Lepisosteus oculatus: one gene and its partner. The protein of the gene in region 1 binds, or shares a complex with, the protein of each later gene. Links are inferred from orthologs where the notes say so. Each region holds a gene or a part of one and is shown on either strand. Other genes may lie near its edges.

Region 1 (15,158 bases):
ATGCGTGCGCGCGCGCCATACTTCAGGGTGGGTGTTGTGCGCTTGCGCGCGTTCACGGCGGTTTTCAGGAGCAGAATGTGTTGCTGTTTGTTGGGGGGGGGGGGGGCAGGAACTGCATACCATTAAAAAAAAACTTTTATGTGCAATTGTTTTTTAATCGATTTAAATTCTAATATCAACACCCAGCACGTTTTAAGCTTACATAGTGCCCCGTGTCGAGTTCAGAAAGCTTGTTTTTGTCTTGCTCGTAAAAAAAAAAAAGACTCCGCTACAAAATGGTGTCACTTCATTCATCTATAAGAAAAATGAAGGCAATTACATTTTTATTTTATTTTTTTAAATCTTTTGAGAAATTTGATTTAAGGTTTTGAACAGTTGGGCAACAAGACGTCGAGGCACGTGTGTGTGTGTCGAGAATCTAGAAACTTAAGGGAAAAGACCAGCAGGAACATGTAGTTAAGGTTGGTCTGAAAGTCTGACTCCTGTCCGCCTCGGCCGGTGGCTATCCGGACCAGTCCGCTGTCCAGCCGGTGTGTCCGGAGTGAGGAGACCCGCACTGGTCCCGAACCCCCCGGCCAGCGCGCACCCCGGATCGCGAGCCCCGGGCCTACGGGTTCCGGACACCACTCGGCCCTGCAGCATTCCCGGACACCAGTAACATGCTTTCAGGAGCATCCTGCTTCCGTGTTGTGCTTTTCTGATAACTGGCCGCTTGTAGCCCTGCAATGTGAGAAAAAATACTCTATTTGTGCGTGCAACCACATGTAGGAATTGCGTTTTAATTCACGTCTTTTGATTTTATTTTTTAGGCTTTGGTTAACCTGTGTTGTCAAATCGACCGCTGTGGCTGATCAGGTGACGTAATCTTCTTTTTGTCGTCCACATAAGTATCTGCATTCGCAGAAATGATGTACATTTTACTCTGAAGTCCCCTGTTTCTACAAGATGCAGACAAATCTAAGATTTTGTGATTTAGAAAGCAAATGGACACATTGATGTGTTAAATGCATTTTCATTTGTCGTTCGTTTCAGCATTATACAATGAAACTCCCACAATTAAAATCATACAATAGATGTATCTTTTTAAAAAATATATATTGACTTATTAGATTGTATTAAACTATTATAGTACGGAAACAAAATGTTTAAACCCAAATAAAATAAGAAAGTTGCAGGATAAAATCTAAAACAGAAGATTTTTTGTTAAAATCTCACAAAGAAGAGAAGGGATTTTTAGGAATGCTGTTACAGGAATGTGCTGGAAGTCTCAGCATTAATGCAGCTGTCTTAAACATGAAGTATGGAGGGAGAAATAACTCATTTTTAAGACAGTGTTTACATCGTAATTAAAGTTTCTAAACAAAACTAAATTTTATTGAGGCATCTTAAAAAAAAACGAGTGAGATGAACAGTTCTTAAACATGATTTGTTAAGATCATAGATACATGTTACATTTCACACCATATTGGTGGGGAAAAAAAAGGTACTTACCTGCAATCATGTGTGTAGATATTGTGGTGTACGTTTTGTAAAACATGATGGTGGAATTCAGTTCACAAAGGGAAAAACATGCAAAAGCAGGGTCTTAATTGCAAATGAGTGGGAGATGTTCAGATGGAAAAACTGAGCACCTGTGCCTACATTCATTTCTTGAAAAGAGTAAACAGTTATAAAATGAAGTGGATCCAACTAGTCAATACATCCAGAGTGCCTGCAAAGTCAAGATGCCTCATGTTCACGAGAGACGCTTTATATAAGATCATTCTCTCCCATGATACACCAACTTGTTCACCCACACACACGCACACACTCAACACGCCTCCCCGTGCCTGTCGCCTCACTCTTCCTCTGCCTCTCAGTAGCTCACGCTCGGAAAAATAAGATCTCCGGTTCCGGTTCTGCAGACTTGGGGAGGATGTTTGAAGGGTTGGCGAAGAGCAGGATATCGTTAGAATTCATGTTTTATAAATCCCCTCACGACCTCGGAACTTTTGACCAGCGTTGGCGTGTCGAAAACGTCCTGTGTAAGATTGTAAACCGTGATAGATGGATATTCCTAATTATTTTCCTAATTCTTAAGGTAGGGTTCTAGGAATCAAGATCTAAACTCTGGATTTTGTGTTTCTGTCAATAAAGATTGATTGAACCCTCTCTGTCTCAGCAGCTCACCCATCCCCGGACGCAGGAGCAGAGGAAGCAGTCTGCAGACACACTTGTCGCCCGAGCCGATCAAGTGATGTTTCTCCTTACTGTCGGGAGGGGAACCTCATAACGAAAGCTTTTTCCGGGTGTGAGACTATGTAAATCGGTTCTGATGATTTCCCAAGCAGCTCTAAAAGCCACAAACCAATTTTAGTTCCATACTTGTGGCTTCAATATAGCACGTGCATCGGTTTACAGAACGACACCTTCTTGCAGGACCTGACAGCATTGGCGTTTTAAATTTTGCATTCGGGATTAATTAATCTGGATTAAGAGCAGCCTTTAACTGGGAAGATTATTTAATGTTCCTGTTGAGGCAGCAGTCAGGAGCTCACACACTGCTAATCTGGTTTGAAGGCTTGTCACTTAAATGGCTGGGCACTTTGGCATCTTTGAACTGCTTTGAAAAACACAAAGGATCACGCTGTAAAAGTCTGGCAAACTGCCTTGCAAACAAACACACACAAATAAACAAAACATGACTGTTGAGAAATATATGGCAGACTGCTTACTATGTGCAGTTATGTACTCAGACAGAGAGATGAGATAAGAGACGTCTGAACAAAATCAAAAGCTCTTTAAATCTGAAGCTCATGCTCCTTCATAGAACATTGATTGATGTAAAACGTCCTGACAAAAACTGTTTGCTTGTAGGCAACCTGGATATTTCTTTTTCAGGTTAGGTGCAATTCAGAGGTCTTAAAGAGCTACTTAAAAGTCAGCTGTGTCCCTTGTTTGTTTCTACTGGTGACAGTGTCTTATTATTTCATACATGGTTGTATGATTAATGAGAGGTTTTGTGAAGGGGGAATGGATAATGAATTAAATCTGCAAGGACCACATCTTTTCTAAAGATGATCCTACACAAGTAACATGTTAGTAATTATAAGTTAAATCCCTTTTGTGCTGTGGTGTAATTCTGTCTATCACATCCACTGAACTGTTATTCTGCAAGAAAATATATATTTTTCAGTCAGAAATTAAATGCACTGTCTGTTCAACATTAAAAATTAACCAGAAAATAGGTCTCTTTCAGACGTTTTTTTTTTCTGCGTGACCTTCAAGAATTTAAGATCAGACTTTACCAATAGTCAAGTGTTACCTTGAGAAATGAAAGAAACAGCTTTCTCCTGCAGTCAGTCTGCAGACACCTTACAAATGTGAAATTGTTTTCGTTCAGATAAGAATTTGAGAATCTATGTCAATTTCTCCTCAGGTGTGCCATATCTTCAAGACAGCTCCTTTTCATTTTGTTTAACGGTAACAGTGAAGATTTTTAAATGTGATTCTCGCAGCTGAAGACCTGAAGTACTGTACATAATACATTTATGCAAATACAAATATTTGGTTTAATCTTCATTTACATGTATTAGATGAAGTACAGTCCACTGTCCTTAAAAAATAAAAGGAAGTGCCGAAGGTTTTTACTCATTTTAAAAACATCATGAAGCAAAGGAGCAGGAAGTTCCATCAGCATGTTCTACTGCAAACTATTGAACATGCACAGACCTGGGGGTGTGTTTTGGTTGTGCTGGGGCAAATTGAATGCACATGTCAAGTGCTGCTTTGTCCAGTGGTTTTAATGGTAGTTTTGTGAGATCACATGTTTTGAAAATTGCCCATCAGCTAACCATGTTTATGGTTGTTGTTTTTTTTTGCAGACCAATACAATGTCTATAGTGATGGTGCTCTTCAGGCGACACTCAGCATGCCATCTGATTTCAGAGCTTTTATCCTTTTAGGTCCTTGCACTGAAGGGGGTAACCGGATTAAACCCAGGTTGTATGTGAAAAAAAACACCCTCTTCTGCTTCCCTGCCTGCGTGGCTTTCCGACCAAACAGACTGGGATCAGCTTCAGAAAATGTATCGGAAAAGAAACATTGCAGTCCGTCTCGTGGTTGCAATATCGCTGAAGGAGAGTGGACTGCAGGGAGCAGAGTGCCGACCGAATTCTCTTCTTTCTTTTTCATGCAATAATCCTGGGTCCGTTTGCTGTGAAACTTGGCCCGTGCAGAACTGGTTCTGAATTTCAGCCCAGGGCAGCTGCAGTGTGTCCCCCCAGCCCTCCACTGTCCCCCCCCCCCCCCCCCCAGTTTAGGGTTCAGCACAGCGAAGACCACAGCACGTATAAGAAAGCTCAATTACCGATGCCGTGCTGCTTCTATCTTTCAAATACACCTCCATGTTAAAGACCTCCATGTGAAGCAGCCTTCTAACTTCATCCAGTCCCTGTTCACCAAAACACGTTACCATGGTGCCTAGAGCCTGGTGCACGCTAGGATGTTTTGTTCAAACATGAACACAGTTTGTCTCTGCAATCTCCCGCATGATGGGAGAGGGAGTAAGCATAATAAGCTCATTACTTCACACCATACTTTGGTTTTTATTTTTGAAAAGCCACGCCTTACTTCATACGACCTGCAGAGTGAGTGTGTGTGTGTGTGAAACAGAGGAAACGACCATCCTACATCTTAATGACAATAATTAGTCAGAACTAATTGTGTGTTTTAAACTTTCCCTAATTGTAGATTATGTCCCTTTGCACAGCCAGAGTGGATGAATGAGTGTGCAGAGGGGGCATCAGATACCACTGGCTTGGATGAATGGGTGTTGTTAAGGTCTAGTGATGTAATTCATGTACATTTGCACAGTGCTGGTCTACCTTTGCGAAGGAATGTGTGCAGAGATGAACATGAGTCACGGACACCTGTCTTCATCCTCGACGAACAGATTCCAGGTGTATGACGCTGCATGAGGACGGTGTGCTCTGTTGGAAACGTGCTGCTCATCCTGTCTGGGAGCAGGGCAGGTCTGAGATCTTTTCCTGGACTTGGAGATCTTCCAGGGCTGAGGGCCGGGCGGTCAAGACGCTCCGGCTGTGTGTCCAAGCCCTTCCCTGTTCCAGCAGGGCCCTCTCCTCCACCGCGCTGAGCTCGCCTGTTCTGAACGGGATTAGACTTTTTCAGCTTCTCCCCAGTAGTAAGACGCACCTGAGGGACAATAAAATGTGCACACAGATCAACTGATACAGTCTGGGAGAGGCTTGGAAAGGCCCCGAGCAGAAATCAATTATTTATTTGTGCGGTTTTTGTCAAAGGGTGACTTTTAGCACTTTCCACCAGCCCTCCCACCCTCCTAAACCAGTAGCTCTGTTTGCTTTTATAATTAAAAAAATGCGTGAAAGACAGCTTTGGTTAGCATGCTGTTTTTTTGAAAGGCCCGTGAGGCTGTGTGGTCAGCCAGGTAGCGTCCGTCCTGCGCGGACACTCTCCTCTCCGGCAGGGAACAGGAAGGGCCGACTGGAGCCAGCGAGTGACCTGGGGACGAGAGTCCAGCTCTGGCTGGGCTCTTCCAGACAGAGGCCTCTGGCCCCTGCCAGTCTCCCAGCCCGGGCCGCCAACAGGGCTGACGCAGCGGGTCTCTGTCCAGGTGGGCGCTGGTGTTATTCGGCTACTCTCCCACTGGGTCACCTTCATCTTTGACAAATGGGCACTGCATTTCTTTTTAAGCCTCTGTCTCCCTGCTTCACGGGAAGCCCTGAGGTTAATAATAATAATAACAACATCAATTTATTAACCCTCTGCAATTTCTTGCATTAGGAATTTGTCTTTTCACATACCCCAGCTTGCTCTCCCTGAGACATACAGACAGGGAGAGAGAAGTTTGGGGTCAGAGCACAGGGTCAGCAATTATACAGCACCTGGAGCAGTTGGGGTTCAGGGCCTTGCTCAGGGGCCCAACAGAGTTGGAGTCCTCTGGGGGCCACGGGATTTGAACTGGTAACCTTCCAGCCACAGGCACAGATCCTGAGCCACAGAGCCACCTCTCGGCTGAGGGTTCAAGCCAGGGCAGGTGAAACCAGCATCAGTAAGAACGGCCTCATAGCGACAGAGGGGCTGTCTCCTGTCCAGGCTGCAGGAAGAGGGGTACCTGACAGCGCCCACTCTTCCATTCCTTCAGCAGGAAAAATGACGCGGATACAATGAGCACAAAACCGGTAAAGCTTTTCGCTGCAGGGGGGAGATCGTGTATTTCAATTACACTACTTGTGTAGAACAGATCTTTTTCTGATTTGTTCTCATTTATAATGTAATGCAATTAGAAACAGAATATAAAAGACTGCAATATCGTTTGAGATGTTATTGGAAATATTTTTTTTCATGGCATAGATTTTTGCTTTGGCTAAGATGTGTTGATTTCAAACTGTAATTGATTTGCAAAAAATAAAAAGCCACTAAACAAAGTATTACCATTTACATTCCCCCCCAAAGAAAGAAGTTTGGATTTGTGTGTATGTGCCAGTCTCGTTTATTCGCGCAGCTTAACTGCCCCTTAGTGTTTTAGGAAAACACAAGCATTTTAATCAAAAACTGTAAAATGCCCGCAGATAATTATTTTTAGATTATTTTATATCTCGGCTTGATTACAGCTCATAGGTTTAATTGACTGTCAAAAGAAGGCTGGACAACTACTGCAGAATAACTTTAATTTGATCTTTATTTAACCATATGAGCCAATCGAGAACAAATTCGCTTTTGCAACAATGACCCGGAGATTTATTTATAGAGCACGGCGTTTACCGCCGCTATCTGAGCGAACTGTCTTGCTCAAAGTCACAGCAACAGCGGTCCACGTGGGATATGAACCCGCAACCCTCTAGTCCGGAGTCCAGAGGCTGGGGCCCCTATCTGTGACCCAGTAAATTTAATTCAATAAGAGAAAACTCGCTGCGATCTTGCATCATGCAGCTGTCGCAGCCAGCTGAATCTGCCCACAACGCGTGTTACAAGTAACGAACAAGTACCCGTCTGGAATACAGAACTGTTGCAAGAAAAAAAAAAGACAACTCGGACGCGATACGTGTAACTCGATTTCCTCCGTGTGCGTGGAACGCCCCACGCCCCACCTCCACCTCGACCGAATTCACTTGAGCATTCCCGTTTCCCCTGACGTTGATTTTAGGGGGGTGGTCAGACTTTGTGTATATTTATTAAAGATCTCAGTCAGTAAGTGCATTGTGTGCGGGTTTTCGCGTGCTAAAAAGCAGCATGAGGGATCGATTTCAAAGGTTACAAAGAACTAACTTGTGAAAGACGATTTTGTATTTCGACTGGTCACAGTTTCACTACATTTAGGGTGGCCCATGAATTGCGTTTATTTTTCTGTGGGGATAACGCGTTACTCGAAGAACGGTGTTCTCTTTTACACCATATAGGTCTGGTAAATGTTTATTTAAAGGGGGTTGGGAGAAGAGATCCCAACGAAACGTGTTTGTTACAGAGCGCTACAGCCTTTCCGCTCCCGGCGGCAGCTACTGCGCTTGGAGGCCTAGTGCCTGGCAGCACCATTTTGAAACAAGAAACAGAAACCAGGGAGAGAGAGTCGTGCTGCTTGCCGTCCTGTCGTGGTTACACGATACACGCGGGCCTGCAACAGCTCAGTGGATGAGGAGGGCGGCGGCACGGGGGAGGGGGGGCGATTCGGCGCTGTGTTCGCGCGTGCTGCGGGGTGCGGGCGCCGCTTTCCGACTCGCGCTCTGCCCGTCTCCGGGTCTCCAGCCCCGCGTGTAGCCGACACTGGGGGGAGTGGGAGCGGCCCGCCCGCGCAGCGCGCCCCGACCCCCCTCCTCTTCTAGAACGCTTCTAGAATTCGTTTTGCGCCGCGCCTGCCCGGGACGGGCTCGCCAAGGCTCTGTGCCAACGAAATGGCCACCCTCTCGGCTTGGCGTTTCGCAAAACCACCGCCCTTCTCGACGTTGTCTGCTGGGGAACCTCCCGGGCGGCCCGCCTTTATGGTCTATACCGCTCAGGCAGGGACACCAGGCTGACGGGATCACGGGGTCACAATTTACCCCCCAACCGCCTCGCTCGCCGACCTCCCCCCTGTAGATACAATAACCCCAGCGGCAGGGGGCTCGAGCTGGGTGTGCGTGTCCAAGCGACCGAGAGGGCGATTAAATGATTCATTCTAGCGCTGATGAGCGCCCATCGCCATCGCTGGTGCCCCAAAGCGGGTGTGTCGAGCTGACCCGCGATGGCGCGGGGGGGTGTGCACACAGACACCCACTCGCCCGCCGGCGCGACCCCGCGCTCCCCCCTCCCCGTGCTCGCGCCCGCCTCCACAGACGGACACACACCGTGACATGCGCGCGCCCTCGGCAACATCAGCGCAGAGCACGAAGGCCCGGGCTGTCTCGCGCACCCATCCGCGAGGGGCCGGCCCTCGCTCTCGTTACTCCGAGACCACGTGGTTTCCTCTTTGCAAACACACACACACACAAGAAGAAAAAAAAATTGAGGCAATTTTTTTTTTTCAGGTCGGGTTTTAGAGGCGGTGCCACAGCTAGGCAGAAGGATCTGTGACGGTGCGGGGGTATAACTCGAGGTTTAGGGGCAGAGAGAGAGAGAGGAGCAATTTTTCCCCCCTGATCGCGCCATCGCACTGTTACTATCGCTGCTGCCGCCGACAGCACCATCGCCGCCTGTGCAACAATCTTCTCCCCAGTCCAGTTCGCCGAGAGTGCGTGCGATTCACTTGGAGATCCGCGGCGCCGCAGTCTCGACGTCTCCGCTTTCGCTCGGCGAATCCGAATTCGGCAGCTCCCGGTCGCGGCGACCCCACTTCGCCCACAACTTTTTTTTTCTCTCCCACCCATTCACCCCGATTTCTTTTTAATTTTAATTTCGAGGCGCCGTTTTATTTTCTCCTTCGTTCCGAGTAGCCACTCTCCCTCTTCGTCCTTCCGTTTTGTTTTGTTTTTTGGTTCCAATTTTAATTTCGGGTCCTTGGTTTTTTTTGTGGGTTTTTTTTTTTAAAAAAACTATTTCTTTTTTTTTTCTCCTGGGGGACCGGTAACAGTTGTGTTTTTCACCACCATGAACAAGCTGTATATTGGAAATCTGAGTGAAAACGTGACTTCGGAGGACTTGGTGAAAGTCTTTGAGGACTGCAAGATCCCTTTCTCTGGGCAGTTTCTATTGAAAACTGGCTACGCGTTTGTGGACTGTCCAGATGACCACTGGGCGATGAAGGCGATCGAAACGTTCTCTGGTAAGCTCTTTAAAAGTAACGAGCCCTTTCTTTAACCAGAGCGGTGTATTTAAACAATTTACAACGAAGTGTGAGTTTTTTTTTTTGGAGGGGATGTGGATTAAAAAAAAAACGCGTACTCCGTGAATTTCTCTCACTCCAATTTCGGAATCCACTGAGTTTGTTTGCAGAGGAGAGGGGTGTCGGGGGGAGGGGGATTATCTGATTGAAAACCAACAGATTTCGGTCATTCCGTTTAATTCCGTGTGGGAGGTGTTTTAAAACCTGGCCGAAAGATAACTTTTAAACGGGGTGAGTCGAATCGGCAGCAGAGTTTAAAAATGGTCTGTGGCAAACTGGTGCCTTACAAGGTATGTGTCCCAGTGAAACAGGTTGCTATTGATATCTTTTATTATTTAAGGCAGGCATGCCTGGACCTCTTATTTTTAATTTAAAAAAAAACGTTAATTGGGAATCCAGTCCCCGAGAGAACTCCCGAGGGGTGGCATTGCTCTGGTCTGTATATAAGGGTTTAGCTATACGAACACGATCCCCTCCCCCTTTTGTCATGATAGGCCATTATAGATAAGAGGAATTGAATTTGTTTGTACAAAAATAGCCAGTGATTAGGTCAAACATGCCTTATGGATTTAAAGAAGCGAGAGGTGATTCTCGAATAACCGGAGAGAAGGGACCGTTGTACGGTCACAGGCGATAGGCGAATCGTCCGCGAGTTTTTCGGTCCTTCCTTTTTTAAAGAATCAATTTTCCTGATTTTGTACATTACCCCCTATAGCATGTGATGTTCCCTATAGCGCGAAGGTCGCCATGCTGCTTGCGCTTCAGCTATAGTCGCGCTACGAGAACACGGCGGGCGACTGTTTTCCTTCGTCATAGTTAAACGGCTCCACGCCGAGAGAACCGGGGAAACTTGTGACCCCGCAGAAAAGCGGGGTGAAAAAAAGTTAGCAACACCCCAACAAGACAAAAGCTGTAAAAGTTCCCCTAGTCGTGCCGCTGCCCAGTAATTTCTATAACGAAGACCATTACAGCTTGGGGCACGACTACAGAGAGGAAAGGCGCCGTGCAGATGTTTAGGTGTGTTGATATGTCACCTTCCGTGCCTGTAACAATTTTTTTCCCTTACATCGAGTACCCAGTGTATGAAGTTGTACCCTTTTTATTTTTTAAAAAAAAACGTATCTTTGAACTACCACGTCAGGGTTGCGGAACTGGGACCCATTCGGATCTTTCCTCAATTAAAAAAAAAACAAACAACAACTTTCTAACTGCAGCAGCTAGGAAACTCTTTCCATTTTGTGAAAGCCAGCCGTGACGAGACAAGAACGAAAATGCGTTAACATCCCCACAAACAAAAAAAAATCAAACTGCTCGGACGGTACACAGAAGGGGGACGTTAATGCAAACACGACTGTATTTGTTTTTCAGGTAAAGTGGAGTTGCACGGAAAGCGCATGGAAGTCGAACATTCTGTGCCCAAGAAGCAAAGGTACTTCGGGTATTCGAATTATTTGGGGGTGTCGAGTTTTCTTGAGCTCCGGGTGGCCTGGAATGAGTTTTGTGTGGTTGCATTCAGTGGTGTGCAATGAAGAAGGGATCCGATCTCGTAGGGTGACGAATTCCCTCCTCACTGTTAGTTCTCGAATTGGGCCTGTTTTCAAGTCCAACTCCCTCTCCACGCCAAACTTTAATTTAGGCTGGAAAGACTAGTCGTAATTTACCCTCCCTCCCCCCTCCCCATAAAAAAATGACGGATTGCTTTCGATTCGAATCAGAAATACATTTTCACTAAAAGAACACCCTGAAAGTCAATTGCACGAAATTTAGTGTTTGCTAAAATTTCAATTCATTCTCTCGCCATCTTGAAATTCATGCACGTAAAAAGAGGAGAAAATGTCTTTTTTTTTGAGAATCTGGGACTGCTTGCTAGTGAACAGCTCTGATCAGAATGTCTTGGTTGTAGTTGCAGGTTTTGAGTTTAAGGCCTACTGGTCATGAAGGTTAGTGAGGCGGTGTTGTGCTTTTAGTTGTTTTTTTTTTAATTTACCTGGGCTTCGAGAAACCTGGTGTGTTTGCGAACGAAGATTATGCATCTGTAAAATTGGTTACTAAATTATTTCACGCAAATTTGCTAAAGTTTTTTTACATTGAAATGTTTCGCTTTTTTTAAAAAAAAGTATGCATTTGTTTGTTAGGAAATAATTGGCGAGGTTTTATTAATATTAAATACAACTTAACTTCATCACCTAGATACTTGGGGCTGGAAAACGGTAATAAATGTTGTTGGGGAGTATCTTCCGTGCCTTTTGTGTGGAGTAGAAACATTCTTTCAAGCGGTGCCCTTTGTTTTGGCATTGTGCTAGTGAAACGTTAAAATCTTCATCTTGGCTTCTCGGCTACAGTATCTTTCTGTGCATTAACTGCCCCCCTGAACGCAGAAGTCGTCTGTAGGACACTTTCTCAGTTCGAAGACGTTTGCCGTTTTAACAGCTACACATTTTAAAACTCCCCTCTCCAGCTTGTTTTCTGAAAGCGCTTAAACAAAAATAATCGAGGCGCCCAGTACAGTCGCTGGAGTTTGTGTGGATGTGTTGGTTCCGGGGGAGGTGCGCGGTTGGAGTACAAATGTGCAATTCTTGGGTCTGTAAAATACTGAACTGCTCAGTAGAACATAAAGGTGTTCTTCCCCTCTGTCTCCCCAATTTTAAAATGTGTTCAAAACAAGTTTTTACAAAGCTGGCCTCAGCCACTCCCCAGCCCCCAAGCGCATATTTCCCCAAACGTGGGGTGGTGGGGTTAGGGGGGTGACCCACTGGGGATCAGGACCCCTCCTGTCCCTTAGCACGACGTTCTGGTCCGGCCAGGACCACAAGAACCGGACCGCTCGGCCACTGACCGGGCCCATTGTGTGGTTCGAACACACCGAACCAGGCCGCAAGACTGGCGTGGGGGTTCGTGGTGGTTTTGTTTAAATTGTTATTTTTAGAATGTCGTCCCCGGCCTGTTAGCATTTCATTGAACATTTTACCGAACAGAGCGCAAGTTTGTTTTTTTTTTAAAAAAAAAATCAAAATGGAGGCTTTTAGGATAAAAAAGGGAGTTTAATCTTTCTGGATTTAAAATAAAAGCCACGCGGATGGCGTAGTCTGAATCAGACAGGTCTGTTCCGCCTTATTGGGAGAATTATTGTCAGCAGTGGCAATAATCGATTTCTGTATACGCGCTATGGAAACCTGTTTATGATCAGCGAAGAGAAATACGTGTTCGACGTGCAATGTCTTCCTTTTTACATTGATCTGAATTATAGGCCGAAGCGAAAGAGTCCAAAACTTTATTTAAGAGGGAAAAAAAGTAATTTTCCAGCAGCAGCAGAGCAACATGTTTTGCAATTTCAGGCAATAACATTATTATAGCGAGGGGAGTGTGCGCCTTTGCCTTTTCATTCCCTACAAATTTGTAATGTATTTTAATTAATTCCATGCGTCAGTTAAACTATCATTGTGGTGGCTGACGATAAATATGCACGTATTTCATCAAAAGCCTTCAAGGGGTAAAAGAAATGAACCAAATAACAACAACAAAACTTTCAACTTTAATATTTTTTAAAAGAAGGGACAAAAAGATCTTGACTCCAAACACGTGCTTCTCTCGCAGTACAGGGCCCGCTTACGTCACTCGCCACAAAATAATGGCGTCTCTCGGGTCTGGTTTGTAACGACATGGCTACTCCTCTTATAAGGCATATATACGGCGACGTAGATCCCGTGCACCTATCTTAATTCCTGCAGACGAAAAAGTATTTACAACAGAATTGTGAGATTTCACACTCTTCAATTTTAAGGCGACAGTCTGCTTTGTGTGAGGGGAAAACTGTTCTTATGGGCAGTGTATTATTTCAGGAAGATCTTTGAAGCTGTCCCTAGAGGAGTAGTGAAAATAACCTTCCCAGGTCTACAAGACTGCTCGAAAATTTCCTAGGCTTTTTTTTCCCAGTTTGGTTGCAAGATATGGTTTGGGAAAAAAAATATTTTCTTGAAAGTGTTTAAGAAGGCTAATGTTTGTAGGAGGGAGTTTATAAAAAGAGGTTTCCATACACAAATGGCTAAGGAGAGAGAATGCACATGTATATAGGTGATTTAGTACATATTACACAAATAGTTTTTAACAGGCTGATTCACTTTTAGTTCAAACGTGTGATTTGTTTTTGTTTGTGAAGATGGGTGTCATTGCATTGTGGTGAAATTCAGGCAGGGCCTGACTGAGATGCTGGCGTAACACTCGGATCCTATTTGGGATAGGAATGCAGTTGTGAACAGGCCCTGTTTCTTCTGCCATCTCTACATGTGACTTGGTATGTTAGGGCTTTTCATGTTATTAAAGCACTTCCTATACACTTCCTGACAAACTGTGGTGAATTTGCTCTCCTTGGGGGTGAGAAGAATGTGGCCTTTGTCGGTTTTAATCAGGACTTTTTCAAAAGATGGAAATCGTGGTAAAAAACGAGACAAAAGCCGAACGGAAACATTTACGTGAAACGGGTCAGGGTGGCGAAAAATTGGTTTGAATGCTATGTTCCCGTTTGCCTCTTGTTTGGGTAGATCTGTTTGTTGCTGGAGTGTTGGAGGTTCGGTTGTAAAACTATTATCTCGCACAATGGGCCACACATCCTTGTGTCGCCAGGCGGGGCTGCGGGTCATTGTGATGTCACAGAGGGGATTGTGACCTCACACTGGCAGGACAGGATTTGGTGAGTTAGCTTTTGACAAGGAATCCAGTCGAAATGTACCTGCAGACATCTTCCGTCATCAACACCACAAATGTAAATGTCAAGAGGAACTGAAGCCATTTCTGCCTAGCACTTGAAATACCTGTTCTCAACCTATGCTTTATTTTAAAATGCTAACAATATTAATAGAGGTGTCTTAGTCATGCATTGTTTAAGACAGCGGTTCTAAGCTTATAGTTTCATTGATCAAAAGAAGTCACCTTTATTTGATGAGAAATTGGTTGGTGTTTACAGACATCCATGGGTGATCCCTTATGTTAATTTTAGGAAGTTGCCAGGACAGAATAAGCTCACGGTTCTGCTGTAAAGAAAGAACACAGACCCCTAGTCTAGTAAATTTCCAGTGTTTGTGTGTTGTCGGAACAGTGTTAAAACTGATTATTCCGGACGGTTTTAATTCACTTGCCATGCTGGTGTCAAGACTCTCCATCATCTTAATATTTTTCTTGCCTACGAATATCCTGAACCTTCAGGGAGGTTTAATCAGTAGAAGCCCCAGTGATCTATCGCTGGGTATGAATTTGGGGAAGGGGGGTGTGGAAATGAGGCTGTTGTGGTCTTCCCCGTCGTCTGTCCAGCTGTGTGCTGCACTGTCGCCCCCCTGCGCTTGGGCTCTTCCTGCTCGGGAAGGAGCTGGGTTCAAGATGCGTGCCATTGGGGTGTTGATTTTTTGTAGCGGCTGGGGTCGAGGAGGCGGATAGGTGTGGGAGCGTGCCCAGCCTGTGCCGAGCTCTGGCGCGGGTTCAAAGCCAAGTGACCCCCGATGCGGAGTAAACGCACTGCCCATCCAAAATTTAAAATATCTGCACCGCACCTCTCCACTCGGGAGGCGTGAGTGAGCAGCCTCCTGTGATGCTGGTGAAGAGGAATTGGCATAGCTAGGTAGAATCTGCACCCCTCTGCCAGGCTGCCTGGTGAGCAGAGGCCGCTGGGCGGCTGGGGGGGGTGTTCTCTGTTTGCGCAGGGTGTTCGTTCACCTTGAGGTGCCTGCCTGGGCTTGTGGGCTTTAAACAAGAGGTGGTCACTTGGGCTGTGCTAGATGACTCTTTGGAATGCATGCACCAGGAGTCATCCGGCCCAGTGATGATAAATCGTGGAGCACCGTGGAGATACCCTGTG
Region 2 (15,609 bases), on another chromosome or scaffold:
CCATTCTTAAATGAGTTTTGAATTGAATGTGTCCATTAACTGATTAACATTGTCCACTTCACATCAGAGTTATGCAATTATAAGTTGTCATTGTGTTTTACTGTACGTACAGTAGGTATTTAACATCATAACTGTATTGCTTTCATTACACTGTAGGCTAGAATAGTTGTTTTAAGTATCAGTATTTATCAACCTGGCAAGGATGTGCATTGCACAGGAATTGCACTGCAGGTGGAACAAATAACATGTTTTATCTGAAAATGCTGAAGCACCTTGGTACCTTGAACCTTAATGGTTCAAGTCAGTTTTACCAGATTAATGAATGTCTTGTATAGGTGTTTTTCTTTCAACTGTCACCAACATTTGAATGTCATTGAATTACAATGAGTATCTCTTAACACTAATGATCATACAGTGGTGGAGTGTTATCATAACCTCTTCAATATTTAGGGGTTTTAACTGTGCAACTGCATTTTTGTAATAATTAGCAAGTATGTATTACAGCATTGAAACTTATAGAACTGCATATTGATCAGAATGCATCACAGAGTAAATAAGGAAATAAGGTGACCTGTTAATGGAATTATAGCAATCTGTTGGAGTGTTAGGAGTGTTACAGTGTGCTGTAAGATGATGGCAGTAAAAGCAGTTTAAGAACCATAAGCAAAATATTACTACAAGTACTGATGGTTAAAACATAATGAAGTATGGCTAGGCATGATGAAATCAAGGTAAGGCATAGTATAGGGAGGTTTAGTAAAGCACAATACAAACCACGCAAATCAAATGAATGATACATCAATAGAGCTGTGAATGTTCTGTCCACATACTGTACACTATAGTTAACTGGTGAACCCATGCAGGAAATCATGAAAGATTTAATACAGAGGAGGAGGGATATGCTGTGATCTCATGTACCAGATTGCCTGACAGCGACGCTGCTACTGCCCAATCAGTCCTGCATAAGGTCTGATTTAAAAGATTGCTTTCTAAAAATGCATAAGAGCTTACTTTTGCATTTTGTGTGAAATATATTAGAATTTGATTTGATTCAGTGTTATTATGATCATGGTGCCATTTCTGCATACAGGCTACAGACTAGCAAGAACAATGCTGTGCTGAACATGCTGTAACATTCTTTAATGAACATAAAGCACACTCTAGAGGTTTTCAAAATCATGTTAAAGCACCACCTGAAGAGCTGGGACTCGTTAAATTGGTCCAGTATAAAGAACTTCATAAATACCTGTAAACACATCATGTTTATTTTGGGTTTTTTAGACCATAATAAAGAAATTTGATTAATTAGGGAAAAACAAGGTAATGGAGGTGGAGGTAATTTGTGCTGTCATGTAATCCCTTCTAATATACTTTACCTTGAAATGGTACAGCTTCATGCAGTATACTCCATATTCATTTCCCACGTGGGCCGTCCTTTGTTAATGTTCATCATGTTTCCTAAGATTGACTGTGGATTTCCTTCAGCTTTTTACTGCCTAATTCTGAGGTGATGTGTGGAAGCAAAATAAAGCAATCTGGTGCAATATTAAATATTTCAACAATCATTTAATGTAAAAGCACAATGTCTTTACTTTTGTGAAAACACGATAGTGTGCATTTGAAATCACTGACCAAGAGGAATCAACCACTAATTATTGTGATCTTTAGCAATATAAGATTCTGAAGAGGCTCAGATTTAACAATTGGTGGGTCCATACAAAAACAGTGGTTTTACTCAAGAGGCACCCATTTCTCTACCCACATTAGGTTCATTGCAGTTTTCAATGCTACACTGTTATGCAGGCCCCTGAAAAGTGCAATATGCTGTCTCTAGAGCTGTGCATTCCCATCTCAAAAGTCAATAATAGAAACCCAGATCGTAGCTCTTGCCTAGTAGGTCACTACTTTATCAATACACCACATAATTTAACATGTCTCTCATGCACAGCTTAAAACACAAATTTTTGATTGCAGTTTGCCACAGTTACTATCTGTAACTAAATCTCTTTGCTGTATCACCTCTGGGGACAATGCAGTTTAAGTAGAGGAATGCAGCTGTTCTGTGGTCTGTCAATGACAGTAGTAAATTGGTGGACATCTTGCAGAGGGTAGAGTGCCAGGATCAAAATTGAGGAAAACCTTTATAATAATAATAATAATAATAATAATAATAATAATAATAATAATAATAATAATAATAATAATAATATTATTATTATTATTATTATTATTATTATTATTGTTGTTGTTGTTGTTGTTGTTGTTGTTATTGGGCCTCTGAAAGGCATCTGGTAACGTAATTTTAACTTAAAATACCTTGGTACCATCATCTTTAAAGTCCTATGCTATACTGATCAACAACTCATCCTTCAGACAGCCAGGAAATTAGATGTACCTCCAAGGCAGCAAAAGTTTCACCCTGGTGAACAAAGTATTTCTTTAGAAACAAGTGCAGAGCTTCCTGTTCTACTGAGCCAAGGTTATCCACAACTGTGAATCCAATATATTTAACACATTAAACAGAAGAATCTGTCCTGAAAATGTCCAGATTGTAGACTGCACCTGTTGCTTTATTGCTGAATACAAGAATTGGAAATGCTTCTCTTTTGCTCTTTCTGTTGTGGGAACTGTATTTTGGTTCTCAATGATGCTTAACCAGTTCTGCATGTCATCTTCCACTAACATGTTTATGCACTTTTGATCAATTTCTGGACTACATACAGGCTGCTGCTCCATCTATGCAGATGTGTAAATCTCCCATCTTAGAGAGAATTCCACCAGTGTTGTTGCTAGTGGTGTGGGATTAGGTTGGGTCTTTAAGACTGAAATCTATTTTGTATTGCAACTTGGCTCTTTTTATAAAGATTATACATCAGCTGTAATTTCAGTTTAAAATAGACTACTACATTCTAATGGGTCTTTACCTGTTAACACAAATAAACTCAGATAGAAAGTTATTTCTAAAGGGAGAGACACTTTGTGTACCGTACTGTACTTCCTGTTTGTGGTTTTTCTGAATGTGCTATTGGATGTACAGTAACTGTGCTTGATTATACCTTCTCCGTGATAACTCCTAAGTTACTAATTCCAAGACACAATTTCGTGTGCAGGTCTAACTAAAACCAAAGTCCATTTTACAAGGCTAGACTGAAATGACTTTACTTCCTGCTTAGTTGCACTCAATTACAGATTTGTTTTTGGTAAAAATATATTGCTAATGCAAAACTGTTTTAGAATGGTCAGATACCTTTTCTCATCTTCAGAACTGGTTTGATTAGTCCCCTTTCGCCCTTTTCTGTGCTTGCATGATTTTTTCTTTCTCCATTTTTAAATGTATGATTCATGGTATTTTGTTGTGTTTGAAAAGAAAAACATTGTTAAAAACTCATCACTTAGACACTATTCTAATATGGGTCATCTCTCTGTCTTAGAGATCATGAGAAATACCATGTTTTAATATGTGTTTTTAGTTTTCCCTGAGGAAAACATTTTTTCCAATAGTATGACAGGTACTGTATGTCAGTAAATATCAGAGCTCCCTACATATACTGTAGGAAGATGGGCTTCACACAGGTGACACTAGTTCCCTAGTAACCTCATGCCTATGTGACCTTAACGCATTCTTCAGTGTATGTGGAGTGTCTTACCTGGGCAGATCCAAATCCAGTTGTCCTCTTGCACACATCTTGCACACATCCTGTTGTATTTGTTGAGATCTGACTCTGAGCTTATTGCTGTTTCCAGAGCATTAAGCGGTCTAAGAGTACATGACTCCCCTCTGAAAGGACCACCAGTTCCTTGCATGGCTATCCCCAGCAGTGCCACTACCAATTAAGCGGGGTACACTGGAGAAATTGGGGTAGAATAACTTACCCAAACGTACAATGGCTATGTCTTGAGAATGGATTTGAACCCCCAGCCTTCCAGTTAGGAGTCCATGACTGTAACCACTACTCTCCACTTCTCTACAATTTGGTACTTATGTTTTAAAAATAAAACTTCTGCTTATTCTATTTATATATAATTATATACTGGAAGACAGAGTGAAAAAGTGGCTTTAAAGTGTCATTTATACACCTACTCATAGATGCTGATGGAAATGCTGAATGTATACACAAGTGGCCTCAACAAGCATCTATGTACTCTATTTCTAAATTCCTATCAGAAATTCTGTAACAATACTTTTAAAATAAGAAAAAGTGATAAAAAGCATTTAAAAATAATTCCACATTAGTTTTAAAAAACCCAAACCCCAAATGTAAATTGATTTTTTGGCATTTGCTTGAGGTCATCTCCACTATATACACAGTGGGTTCAGTAAATTTAAGGAATGCCATTTCTGCCTGAATTAATTTTATTTACCTCCCACATAAAAGCAGGAGAGAGAGATATACAGTAAAAATAAGAGGCTATTCCTTTATTCGTTGTCATTCTGTTTTTCCGAGTCTGGCTCTGCAGTAAATTACACTGAATCAGCCCTTGAGCTGTTAAAGAATCCAAACTGTCGGTACAATTAGAAAAGTTTGGAATGTGGGGAGATCCTTTGTGCACAGGCTTGCCAGTCATGCACATTAAACTGGGACACCAAACCCACCTCAAAAGGAGCTGTCGCTACCATCAAGAGCAGTGTATTTCCACCAGGATTGTAACAATAAAGTTACAAAGGGACTCCCATGACTTGAATACAGCATACAAGCCCTTATGTTTCCTTTGAATCAGGTGTCTGCCTTACGATAGACCCTCTTTAATCTCTCATCTTAAATGAGCTAACTGGAGAGCACATCCATCTATCCATTTTCTAACTACTTTATATAAGACAGGGTCACGGGGAAGCCTTAGTCTATCCTGGAAAACAATGGGTGCCAGACAGGGTACACCCTGGAAGGGACACCAGTTCACTGCAAAGCACAGTCAGACAGAAACACGCACATACTCACACCAGAACCAATTTTCCAATGCCGTTGGATTCTGAAAGGAAATGAGAGCAGCCAGACAAAACACATAAACTCCATATGGAGGCACCCCAGGAATTGAACCCAGAGCTCAAGCGTAAATTATACAGTATCTCATGATTTAAAAAAAAAACAGCTTCTACACTAGAAGTGCACCAACCCACCTTAATGGTAGTGGAATCACTGAGAGACTACTAAGTACTACTTTTGCTGCTCCACTCATCTTGCTCTCTATTATGAAACTGGTAGAGCATGGCACAAGGTAGTTTAAGAAGTTGTCGAAAAGCCCAGCAACCATAATAGATTATATTCTTTTGTAAACTAGGAGTAAAGCCATGTGGTTTTCACAATCTGAAAAGAGTGTTTTGTTTCCCTTCAGTCACTTCTCAAAGCCTGAGATGAATTGTCAAGCTCTTAGGTGGCCTTTGCAGTTTAGGCTAATTGTTGCTGTGCACCATTTCAAACAGATGAGGAGAATGAAACATCAGTCATGTTCTGATAACAAAGCCATGAACGGACAGCCTAAAGTAAAAGATGTCAATACTTAAGACATCACCATAGACACTGTAACAAGTTTAACCTTTTCAGATTCGTTCATAAAAGACAAATGGGTTTCTCCTATTTGTGTAACCTGTGCAGTCTTTCATTATATCTTGGTGCTTCCAGAGCTACTATGGGCAGTATGAGATTAAATTTAAGAGGCAACTGAAACCCTTTGAGCCAGTTGGAGTTTTTAATTAATGAGCAAAGAGACCTCATAATTGCATATGTTCATTATCTTTATTCCATAACAGGGTCCTTTTTTTAATCTATTAATGTTAGATGCTTGTCACCGGGGCGGATGAATGTAACCATATAAAACGCTTGATTATGCAGTTTTAATGGAATGATTGGGATTCAGACGCTTAAAATTAATGGCATGGCGTCACATATCCTATTTAAACAGTCCATATTGTAATGAGATTATTTATGTAATAAATTAATAAGCTGCTTATGGCTTCATAGGGTCATGATTTATAACGTCCCCACCCCTTCACAGCCCCCAGTTCAGCAGCTAAAATGTAGATGTGAGATGGAGCTGAGAGAGGGGTTGTGGCATTGTCTAACAGGTTCAAAACCAGGAGGAAACTAGCATTGCCCTGATGCCTATCCTATTCTTCCGGCAAAGCTCAATTTCCCTATATTGAATCACAATTCTGCTTCACCTTTTACCTGGGCTCCATGTAGCCAGAAGGGCTTCCTTAGCTATTTTTTTTTACTGGAGGGTTGATCACATCACATAACGTTATTAGCCATATACAATTTCTTGCATTAGGAATGCATCTTTTCACATATCCCAGCTTGCTCTCCATGAGACACATGACACAGACAGGGAGAGAAACTTGAGGTCAGAGCACAGGGTCAGCCATTGTACAGCGCCCCTGGAGCAGTTGGGGTTAAGGGCCTTGCTCAGGAGCCCAACAGAGTAGGATTCCTCTGTCGGCTGCGGGATTTGAACCAATAACCTTCCAGCCACAGGCTCAAATCCTTAGCCACAGAGCCACTGCTCACCCCAAGATCTTACACATCTCAATGGCAACTTTGCAGTCTTACATTTTTAAATGTAACAACAAATTTAATAATAAATAAAGACTGGGTGACATAAACTAACGTGTGTCCATGTCCTGCAGATAAACAAGGGTTTCTCTTAAAAGAAAGGATCGAAATTTGGTGTTTCATGTTTCAGTGTTCCTTTTCATTAATGGACTTGGTGCTGGTTTTCACCCCCCTCCTCCTGCCTCCCAGCTTTTCCAGTCTGGGAGTGTCAGCACTAAAGGCATCATTGCAGCTTGCATTCATATTACATCCAAGAGGACTGCAGTTTATTCTCCATTTCTAGCCTCTCTGTTTGCCTTCTTCCTCCATAGCTCATAAGTTATACTTACTCTAGGTACTCCATCGTAATTCACTGGGCTTTGACACTCTGAGGTCATTTTTTCAGCTTCTGTGTGACCTTGATGACCTTGATGGCTAGGGTCGCTGTGAAATGAGAAGGCAATGTGTGAGCCCCTAGTGACTCAGTGGAGCCACCAAAATTCAAATAGGTTTCCACTTTCTCCCCACCAGTGAGACTGCATTAAAAAAATCTGTAATCTCATGAATCACCTCACCCCCCCTACACACACAGACATCAGTCCTTGGTGGTGGAAACCAGAGATGAATGCCGGGAAAGGACAACTGAGACCCCTCCATGTGCATTACACCCCTCCCGCATGTGACTCGAGGGTCTATCTAGCAGTAGGTAGTTAAGTCAGACACAGCAGACTCCTCACTAGGACCAATATGCATGTATCAGTAACAAATAAGAAGCTTGCTGGGTTAATAAAAGCAAGTTGATTTCAGCCTGGAAACATGTGTGCATGCGTATGTGTGTGATTTGCCACATGCCCTGCTGTAAAGCGCAAGGAGAGTCAAAACGAAGGAAGAGCAAGACAGATGTGCCGTGGCTGTCATTAGTTAGCAGAGACTACCCACCTTGTGGTAACACAGTGAACTGTAACTGCCGGGTAAAGAGAGTGAGAGAGAAGGAATGAGAAAGGGAGAGAGAGAGAGGAGAGAGAGAGGGAGGGAGTTTAAACTAAGAGCTATGTTTTGGGACAAGCTAATCTGCCAGAGAGCTGTGTAAGGATCGGAGCACATTGTGTGTGAGAGTGTGCGGGGGAAAGATAAGGGAGCAGTCCTACGAGCCCGGCTGCTTGTTTTAATGTGCTGACTCCGGGGAGATAAAGAAAAAATATTGACTCTCCAGTTGTGTGCCGAGACCCCGGGCACAAGCTCCAGAACTGACAGAGGTGTGCAAAGGCGAAAGGGGGGGAAAAAAAAACAACACAAGAAAACAATAAAGGATCTTTCTTTTTAATTTCAGTTTTTTGGTCCTTTTTTTTTGTTCCGTGGGACTGCCTCCCATTTCTGCAAGAGAGACAAAGAGAGGGGGGGGGGACAGCAAAAAGAAAGGAAAACAAAAGCCTTGGCAACAAGATGTTTGAGATCAGCCGAACACTGAATGCCGCCTTGTTGAGCAATGAGGTAAAGCAATGGATTTGATTTTTCTTTCTCAGGCTCTCTAATTCCAGGATTTGGGGAATATTGGCTGCCTGTCCTTTCTTTTTGGTGTGTGTGTGTATGTGTGATTTTTGGAAGGCAGGAGCAGGAAGTGCAGAGGGGGAGGTAAATTTATGGAAATATTGGGGGGGGGTAGAGGCTGTAAAGAGACATCCTGGCAGGGCTGCTCAGCTGGTGGATGGAGGTTAATAAGTTGGGAATGGGGTACTTCGTTTTCTGCCCCTGCTTGCTCGTGGTGAAGTGAGTGGAGAGGCAAGGGTTGGCTGTTTTTGGTATGATGACTGGTTTTCGTGATTCTTTCTGAGCAGGCGGCTGTTAATGCCAAGGATGCATGAGGAATAGTCCATCTGGGGCTCAGAGTGTGTGAACAAGCGCGCGCGCGCGCATGTGTGTGTGTGTGCATGCGTTCCAAGGGTTGCGTGCCTGGATGTGTGTGTTCGCTCTCTCTCCCTGTCTCGATCTCTCCTTCTTTTCTCTCTCCCTGTGCTTTACCATTCCATCCATCCTTCTCTGTCTCTGTCTGTGTGTGAACGAGGAGCCTCTTTCACAATCCCACAAGATGATGATGAGGTACCCACAGCACTTGGGACTAGCCCCTACTGAAAGCACCTTACCTGAGATGAGATCGCTGCTTTATCCCAGGGAAATCCCAAGCAGCCAGCCTGGGGGCAGGTCACTATTGGTAAGACGAGAGGTGGGGGACTTGGAGGTGGGGGAGGGAGACACAGGTGAAGTTGGGTAGAATCAGTCAGTTCAATTGGAGTGAAAGGAGTGAGCAGTTTGTTAGGAATGAAGGTCTACGATGCTTTGCTTGCATACTTTGTCGGCGCACCTGTCAATGGGTTAAACTGTCCATAAAAAAAGAGAAAGAGCCGGGGGAGGGGGATTTGTGCAGTTTCAATCCCATTGGGGTTTGCTTCTCTGCTGTATGACCTTGGGCAAGTCCTAGCACTTCCGTATCTGTCAGTCCAATAGTGGTTAGTACAGCGTGTTTGGGAGGAGGCGGAGGATCTCTTACAAGACTCGTAGTGGTCCATCTGGGAAGAGCAGCTCTTCAGTGTATTGCATAGAGGGCCTGGGGTCGGGGGGATGGCATGGATGACCGAGAGGAAGAGGCCCTGTAACAGTCAGGATTGATCTGTATCATTTTTAAGGGCCCAGATGTTTTGCGTACTGTCAGAGCTGTTTGAGATCAAACAAGCTGGCAAGGATAAGGGAACTAATGATTTTGGTCAGGGATTTTCAAGCAGAGACAGAACAGAAAAGTTTTACAGCCTTCCAAAAACCAAATGAAAGAATCCTCAGACGTGAAAAATTAAAATAAACTCTGGGTAATTATTTTGTCCCGGTGAAATTTCGTTCTCCGCACTCATAGCAGGTTGAAGGGAAGAAAAGATTAAAGACCAGGAGGAGCTGAGGAAAAGAGTGGTGGCTTGGAATTATTCGATCTGAGTTTCTTTCTTTTTTGGTGTGTGTTTTCTTACTGCCTGGTTGTATCTGCTAGTGATGTCTAAAAAAAAAAACAGGAGACACTGGGAAACCCGTTCTGGAAACAGTCAGAGAAAATTCCCCTGCCTGCCGCATAAAATCTACACAAGACAGGGGGCGTTTGATCTGTCATGGTTACTCATCCTGGTGGCAGCTTCTCCTTAAAGCAGACTGAGCATCCAAACTTGGAGCGCACTGCTGCATGGCACTGAGGCGGGGAAGTCCGGGGCTGAAGCAGAGGGCTGCAGAGCAGGGGCTAGTAGCGTCCACCCTGGTGGTTCAGTCTGTCAACAGTGACAGCCAGCTGTTGCTGTCTCTTCCCCTTTCACAGCTGGAGCTAAATCTCCACTCATAGGAAGAGCACAGTTAAACACCAGATTCTTTACAGTCAAAAATATAAGAATATTTGCACCTGACAAAAAATTGTCACCCCTTGGTGCTCATACGGCTTTAAGATACTGTAAGTGTTCCCTCTTCTTATCAAAAATTTCTTAGTACACATTCAACGTGTTTTTGTTTGTGTTTCTTCCAGAAATGTGTTTTACTGGAGAGGATGCATACAGTTGTGTGTCAAGACATTTCAGTTAAAATGTTGCTTAAAATGTGAGCTGCTCTTTAATTCCCTTAAGGAAGTCCACAACATACAACACTTTAAATGATAGCTGCCTTCGCAGGGTTGTGATTTACTGAGCAGCAGTCGCCGAGATTTTGCTGCCTGTATCAGCACAAATGTCCTTTTCTTTTTCCTTCAATCTGCAGTGTTTACGCACAAAGGAGAAAAACACTCAAAGAAACAGAAGCGGATAAATAAATGGTTCTTGTGATTTTGTCTCTGGTATCACAGATTGGATTGTGTTTCCTCTTTTCAAAAGAAACTGTTGGAAAACTTGTAACAGGCTTCACTAAGGCAATTTGTTCAGTACTAGGACTAAAGGTAATGCACTTGATGTTCTAACAGTAGCAGAAAAGATGGCACTATTCTTATTTTATAGTGAAAATGAGAACAGGTTGGTCATTAGAATTTGATTTCATATCTGAGAGATTCGAGCATTAAGTCAGCAATGGTTCATATATTTGTTTTAATGGCATATAAAGACACATAGCAGGATCAGGCAGCCTAAAACTATATGGAATTTTACAACATTACCAGATGCAGGGATACACTGGGTCTGATTATACTCTGCTCTTTAGATCTAAGAAATATATTTAATAATAGACAGGGTTTTAGTCTTTTTTTTTCATTCCTAAATTTAAGATGGAGGAAATCTATTCTCATTTCTTTACCTTCAGCAGCAAGAGACCCTAAACAGGACTTTGAAAAGGAGCTGAGATATTCTAATTAGGTAATTAGCTAATGAATGGATTCATTCTTTCATTCATATTTGATACAGGTTACAGGGAGTTTGACTGTCCAGGGAGATCAGATAAAATGAATATTAAAAAGGTTGGCCCTGTGGTGACAGGGAGGAAGACAAAAGGTTTCAGTGTGAGAATATTTTTAAAATTCCAATTTATTTAATTGATTCAAGCTCAGTTTTTTTTTAAACTTACCTGCCTCTCTTTTTATGAATCTGATAATAAATCAAAAGGTTTGGTTCCAGGCCGGACATTGTTATAATACTAGCTTACAGTTTTTAAAATGAAGTGGTACAGTATTTCTACAGCTCTGTTTCCTGTCCTTTCCCCTTCCTTAAAAGCCATGTGAGGGGCAATGTCTTTGGTTACACTCCTGCTGTGTGTTGATGAGAGGAGGACACTATTTTCAAATTCAATAACTTTTGTCAAAAATGTAGTCCGTAATAGATAGGGGATATAAATAAAATCCTTTATATTTCTGCTTTAAAAAACATCGATAGGTGGCATTTTACCTTTGTTAATTGAACGGAAATGTATGTATTTGTGGCGAAAGACGTGCCATCTTCTATGGATTATCTGAAGAGGCTTCAGATTGTAGGGCATGCTGTATAGCGGCAGCCTGTTCTTTTTTCAGGTGAGTCTGCCAGAGAACATTGTGTTTGAAATGGTGCCCAATCACACCAAAAGGAATTTAATAAGCTCCCTCACACCATCACCGTATAAGATAAAACTGCTATGGTATAATGATTTATGTCGCGAGCTGTACAGCTAGGAAGATAGTGGGCATAAGGAAGCACAACGTTTTCGGTCTCTGGTCTGTAGTGCAGAAGTGTGAAGGAAAGATGTTTTTAACAGTAAGAGTGGATCCTGCCTTTTTACACCACTTAAAAATTGCCATTGCAAACGAGATTCTGCTTTTACGGAACCCGAATGAATCACTATGAAAACAATGTTTAATTTTTTATACAAGTGCATTTAAACAATGCTAGCTGGCGTGTAATATACTGTATGGCGTTAATCTTACCTCTATATTTTAAAAGAAAAAAAATCAGCGTCAGCTATTACAGAAATCTTTCTATAACAGAGAAATCATGCTTTTTATTTAGGTTGTGATTCAGTTCATGGCAGATTTACATTAGAAAATAATAATACAGCTGTTCGTGGTCTGCTCATTTCTGCTATTGCCTCATCAAGGAGACTCAATCAGGATTTTTTGACATTTTCAATTATAGATCAATGAACCCCATTGTAGGAAGGCTGCTGTTTTCCTTTTCCACACAAATATAAACAGCTGCTGTTTTTGTTCAGCTTTTTTTTTCCTCCATAGGCAAGTGATTGAGAGTTTTTCCTTGCAATGTTTGAACGGAGCAACTAATCTGCTGTACCAGTGATGAAAACAAACTGAAGCAGTCGTGTGGAGTGGAAAACGTCTTCCGATTTGCATATTGCTATGGGCGCCACACATATTGCAGGGGTCAGTTCTGTTTCTGAACATTGATTAGCTCCATCCATCTGGCTTCTCTCTAGTTTCCTCCATCCTTGATTGCAATGTTTCTGTTGTTAACTTACCCAGGAAATGATTCCAATTACACTCCCCCAGCCCTGCCTAACTACTTATCGAACAGGTGTGGGAAGAGCAGCTATGGTGTAATAGTGATTTAGAGCAGAAGAAAGAGTTATAGCAACAGTTAATCTTTTAAATATTCATGGAGTATTGTGCAGTAGACAGGTGTTGGTTAGTATTCCCTAAACGAAAGAAAATGTGCTCAGAAATAGCTTTTGTTGGGTATTTTCTGCAGTGCTGTGTGACAGTATTTTTCAGTGTATGAGAATGTACCTTGGTTTTATTTGAAGTACTATTAATAAAAACGACAACTCGTGCTTTGCACACAAATCTGAAGCCGGCTGTCATTAGGCACTAGCAGGACCTGAGTTTCCTTTTGCTGTCAATTGATTTGCCTCTAGAGACCACATTCCCTTGGGATAAGCACATTTCTCAACCCTGTGCCTTTGTCATTCTCGTCCCCATGTTTGTCTGTGCCAATAATGTCAATAGTGTGTCCCCAGCAGTGTTTGGCAATGTATGTTTTTTTACCTTTTCCAAATCCTCGCTATTGACTGGTCCAAACAGAATTTTGACCCAGCTACCATGAGTCCAAACGCCTACAGAAAGCCACCATAATGTAATAGGTTTACAGTCCGCGATTGGTAGCTCATCTGACATTTTGATTTGGCCCTGGCTGCAGTATCGGTTCCATCTCAAATGGCCATAATTCTTTTTTGACTTTGATTCCAAAAAGGCCAACATGTTTTTCAGTTGTCCTGAAGCGTGTTCATCTATTTGTGTGGGCTGTCAATGCCCAATAGAATCTTGCAGAAAACAAGTCCCAATGGGAAACAATTGTTATAAGAAGAGTCCGATTTGGGCAACCTTTAGGGCTATTATTTACCCAGCAGGCAATTACATGATGACTGATGTTACAATCAACAACACATAATCATTATGTCTGAAGTGGCTAGCATCTGCATCTTCATGCAGATTTGTTACAGCTTTGTGACAGATTTGTGGCAGCTTTGTTACATTGAGTTGCTGGTGAAATGTAATAGCAGTGCCAATGGGATTTCAATTTTCAATTTTTCAGTTGGATACTATTATTGCCCAATACTAGCAAAAAGAAGGAGGCTCAGCGGTCCAGTGGTTAGCACTGCTGCTTTGCAGCCCTGGGTTCAATTACTAGGGTACTATTTGCAGGGAGTTTGCATGTTCTCCCTGGTTTTGAATGGGTTTCATCCAGGTACTCTGGATTCTTCCCACAGTCCAAAGGTAAAATGGCTTCTGGGAAAAATGGCCCTGCGGTGATTGTGTGCATGTTTGTGTCTGTGTTTGCCCTGGGATGGACTGGTGTCTCATCCAGGCTGTAATGGGATAGGTTCTGGGCCACTGTAACCCTGACATGGATAAACAGTTATTGAAAGTGATGTGATGATGTGTGTAGCATAAAGATGTCCATCTTTGCCTAAGCTATCATACTGTTTTGTATAAGAAAAGTCAATATTACAGCTCCCAAAATAAAGTTACCCTACAGTTACCCTACAGTGACACTATGCCTCCATAAAGCATTATTTAAACGCCAACCAGATTAACCTTGGACATGCACATCATACTAACCTAACATTCATCCTGAATGAAGTGCTGTAATTATGTTCTATCTTTCAAATTGAAAATAAACTCATTTTCCTATTGTAGTTTTGAAACCTTGAATACTTTTGACATCTGTAATGTTCTGAAGGATTGATGTCTTTTTTGAGGATAAAAGGACACAAAAATGCTATCAATCTTGAAGGTCAGCCTGGGATCCTCATTAATAAAATTTTAAGAGTGGGGTAGGTGGTATCTACTTGATTTACAAGTGCCTATAACTTAAAACATTGAAAACATTTTCAAATGAATACCCTAATCAAAGTGCAAAACAATGAAGTTCATTTTCCTTTAGCTTCACAGTATTTAAGTTAGTCATGCATTTGCTGAACTATTATGTATTTCTGTGTGTCTATTTAATTTGATTCTCTTTTTTTGTGATTTTGATTCATCATGAACACACAAAAATGTATTATTTTTTATTCATTTGCCACCCCTTTCTCACATTGAATTCACCACCACAAATTAGATTTTTGTAAATATGTGTCAATGTAACTTCAGTATCAGTTAAAAATCATTCCTGTCCGAAAGTTCTGATAGGCTTCTTATCTTTTTAATACCATCTGCCAATTTACACCACATTCCAGTACAGGTAAGACAGACCTGTGTTTTAATAATTGGAGAATAACATTGTTCAACTTTGTTATGTCTGTAAAAAGAAACACACAATCTAATCAAAAGTATGGTCATAATAGAGTGTGCATGAGATATTAAGCCATGGTGTGTGTCTTTAACTTCACAGTTACAGAAATTGTTTTGGTTCTGTTTGCATTTGTAATGACTGCATTTGTGGATTCAGATTCTAGCTGAGCAAATGTTAAGAATGTTAACATGTTTAAATAAGCAGCAATAGGCATATACATACTGTATACAGGAAGGTAGTTTAAAATGTTTTGAGCCTCCTGTAAATACTGTATGATATAATACAAAACCACACACCTAGAGATTCCTGCTATTTCAGTAGTTTTGACAGGTAGGCTGTAATAGGTGTTGAAAATCGGAAGTCAAACATTGCTCCATTATCAAATTTCTGACAGTACAGAGCACTTTCAACAGGGGTTCAGAAATTTCCTTCAGCTCAGATCCTTGCACTATTTGTTGAGTTCACAATTTGTTGACAGGCAACCTGTTTTTTACATTTATTTTCAGCATTGACACAAGTTGTTTTCATACACATTCTCTCCTCCCAGACACCCCAGGCAGTTCTGTTTATAAATATTGTCCCAGGTTTTCACAATATATGAATAGAATGAACTAACACTCTTCCTGTATGAGTGTTCCATGTGTATCACAACAACAGGCAGTTGTATTTATAAATATTGTCCCCCCTAACATGTTTTTAAAATAAAAGTAATAAAATGAACTAGAATAAAAAGGACTCAAAATAAACATTTTTCCTGAATGTGTTCAGTGTGTTACAATAACAGGCAATTATGTTCATAAATATTGTCCGCGTTTTTCACAATACATGATAAAATAGACTAGGATTCAAAACAAAATGAACTGACACCC

What was found.
Region 2: igf2bp1 (region 1) and elavl4 share a complex: the UniProt entries of both Homo sapiens proteins name them as parts of the TAU mRNP complex. The link is inferred for Lepisosteus oculatus from reciprocal best matches to the Homo sapiens genes IGF2BP1 and ELAVL4.

What each region holds. Positions count from the first base shown.
Region 1 is NC_090723.1:9,504,658-9,519,815, forward strand, and holds the start of igf2bp1 (insulin-like growth factor 2 mRNA-binding protein 1), read left to right. Parts: upstream 1-8,506; 5' UTR 8,507-9,078; coding exon 9,079-9,253; intron 9,254-10,681; coding exon 10,682-10,742; intron 10,743-15,158. UniProt on the Homo sapiens protein: RNA-binding factor that recruits target transcripts to cytoplasmic protein-RNA complexes (mRNPs). This transcript 'caging' into mRNPs allows mRNA transport and transient storage.
Region 2 is NC_090704.1:27,000,937-27,016,545, forward strand, and holds the start of elavl4 (ELAV-like protein 4), read left to right. Parts: upstream 1-8,587; 5' UTR 8,588-8,613; coding exon 8,614-8,736; intron 8,737-15,609. UniProt on the Homo sapiens protein: RNA-binding protein that is involved in the post-transcriptional regulation of mRNAs. Plays a role in the regulation of mRNA stability, alternative splicing and translation.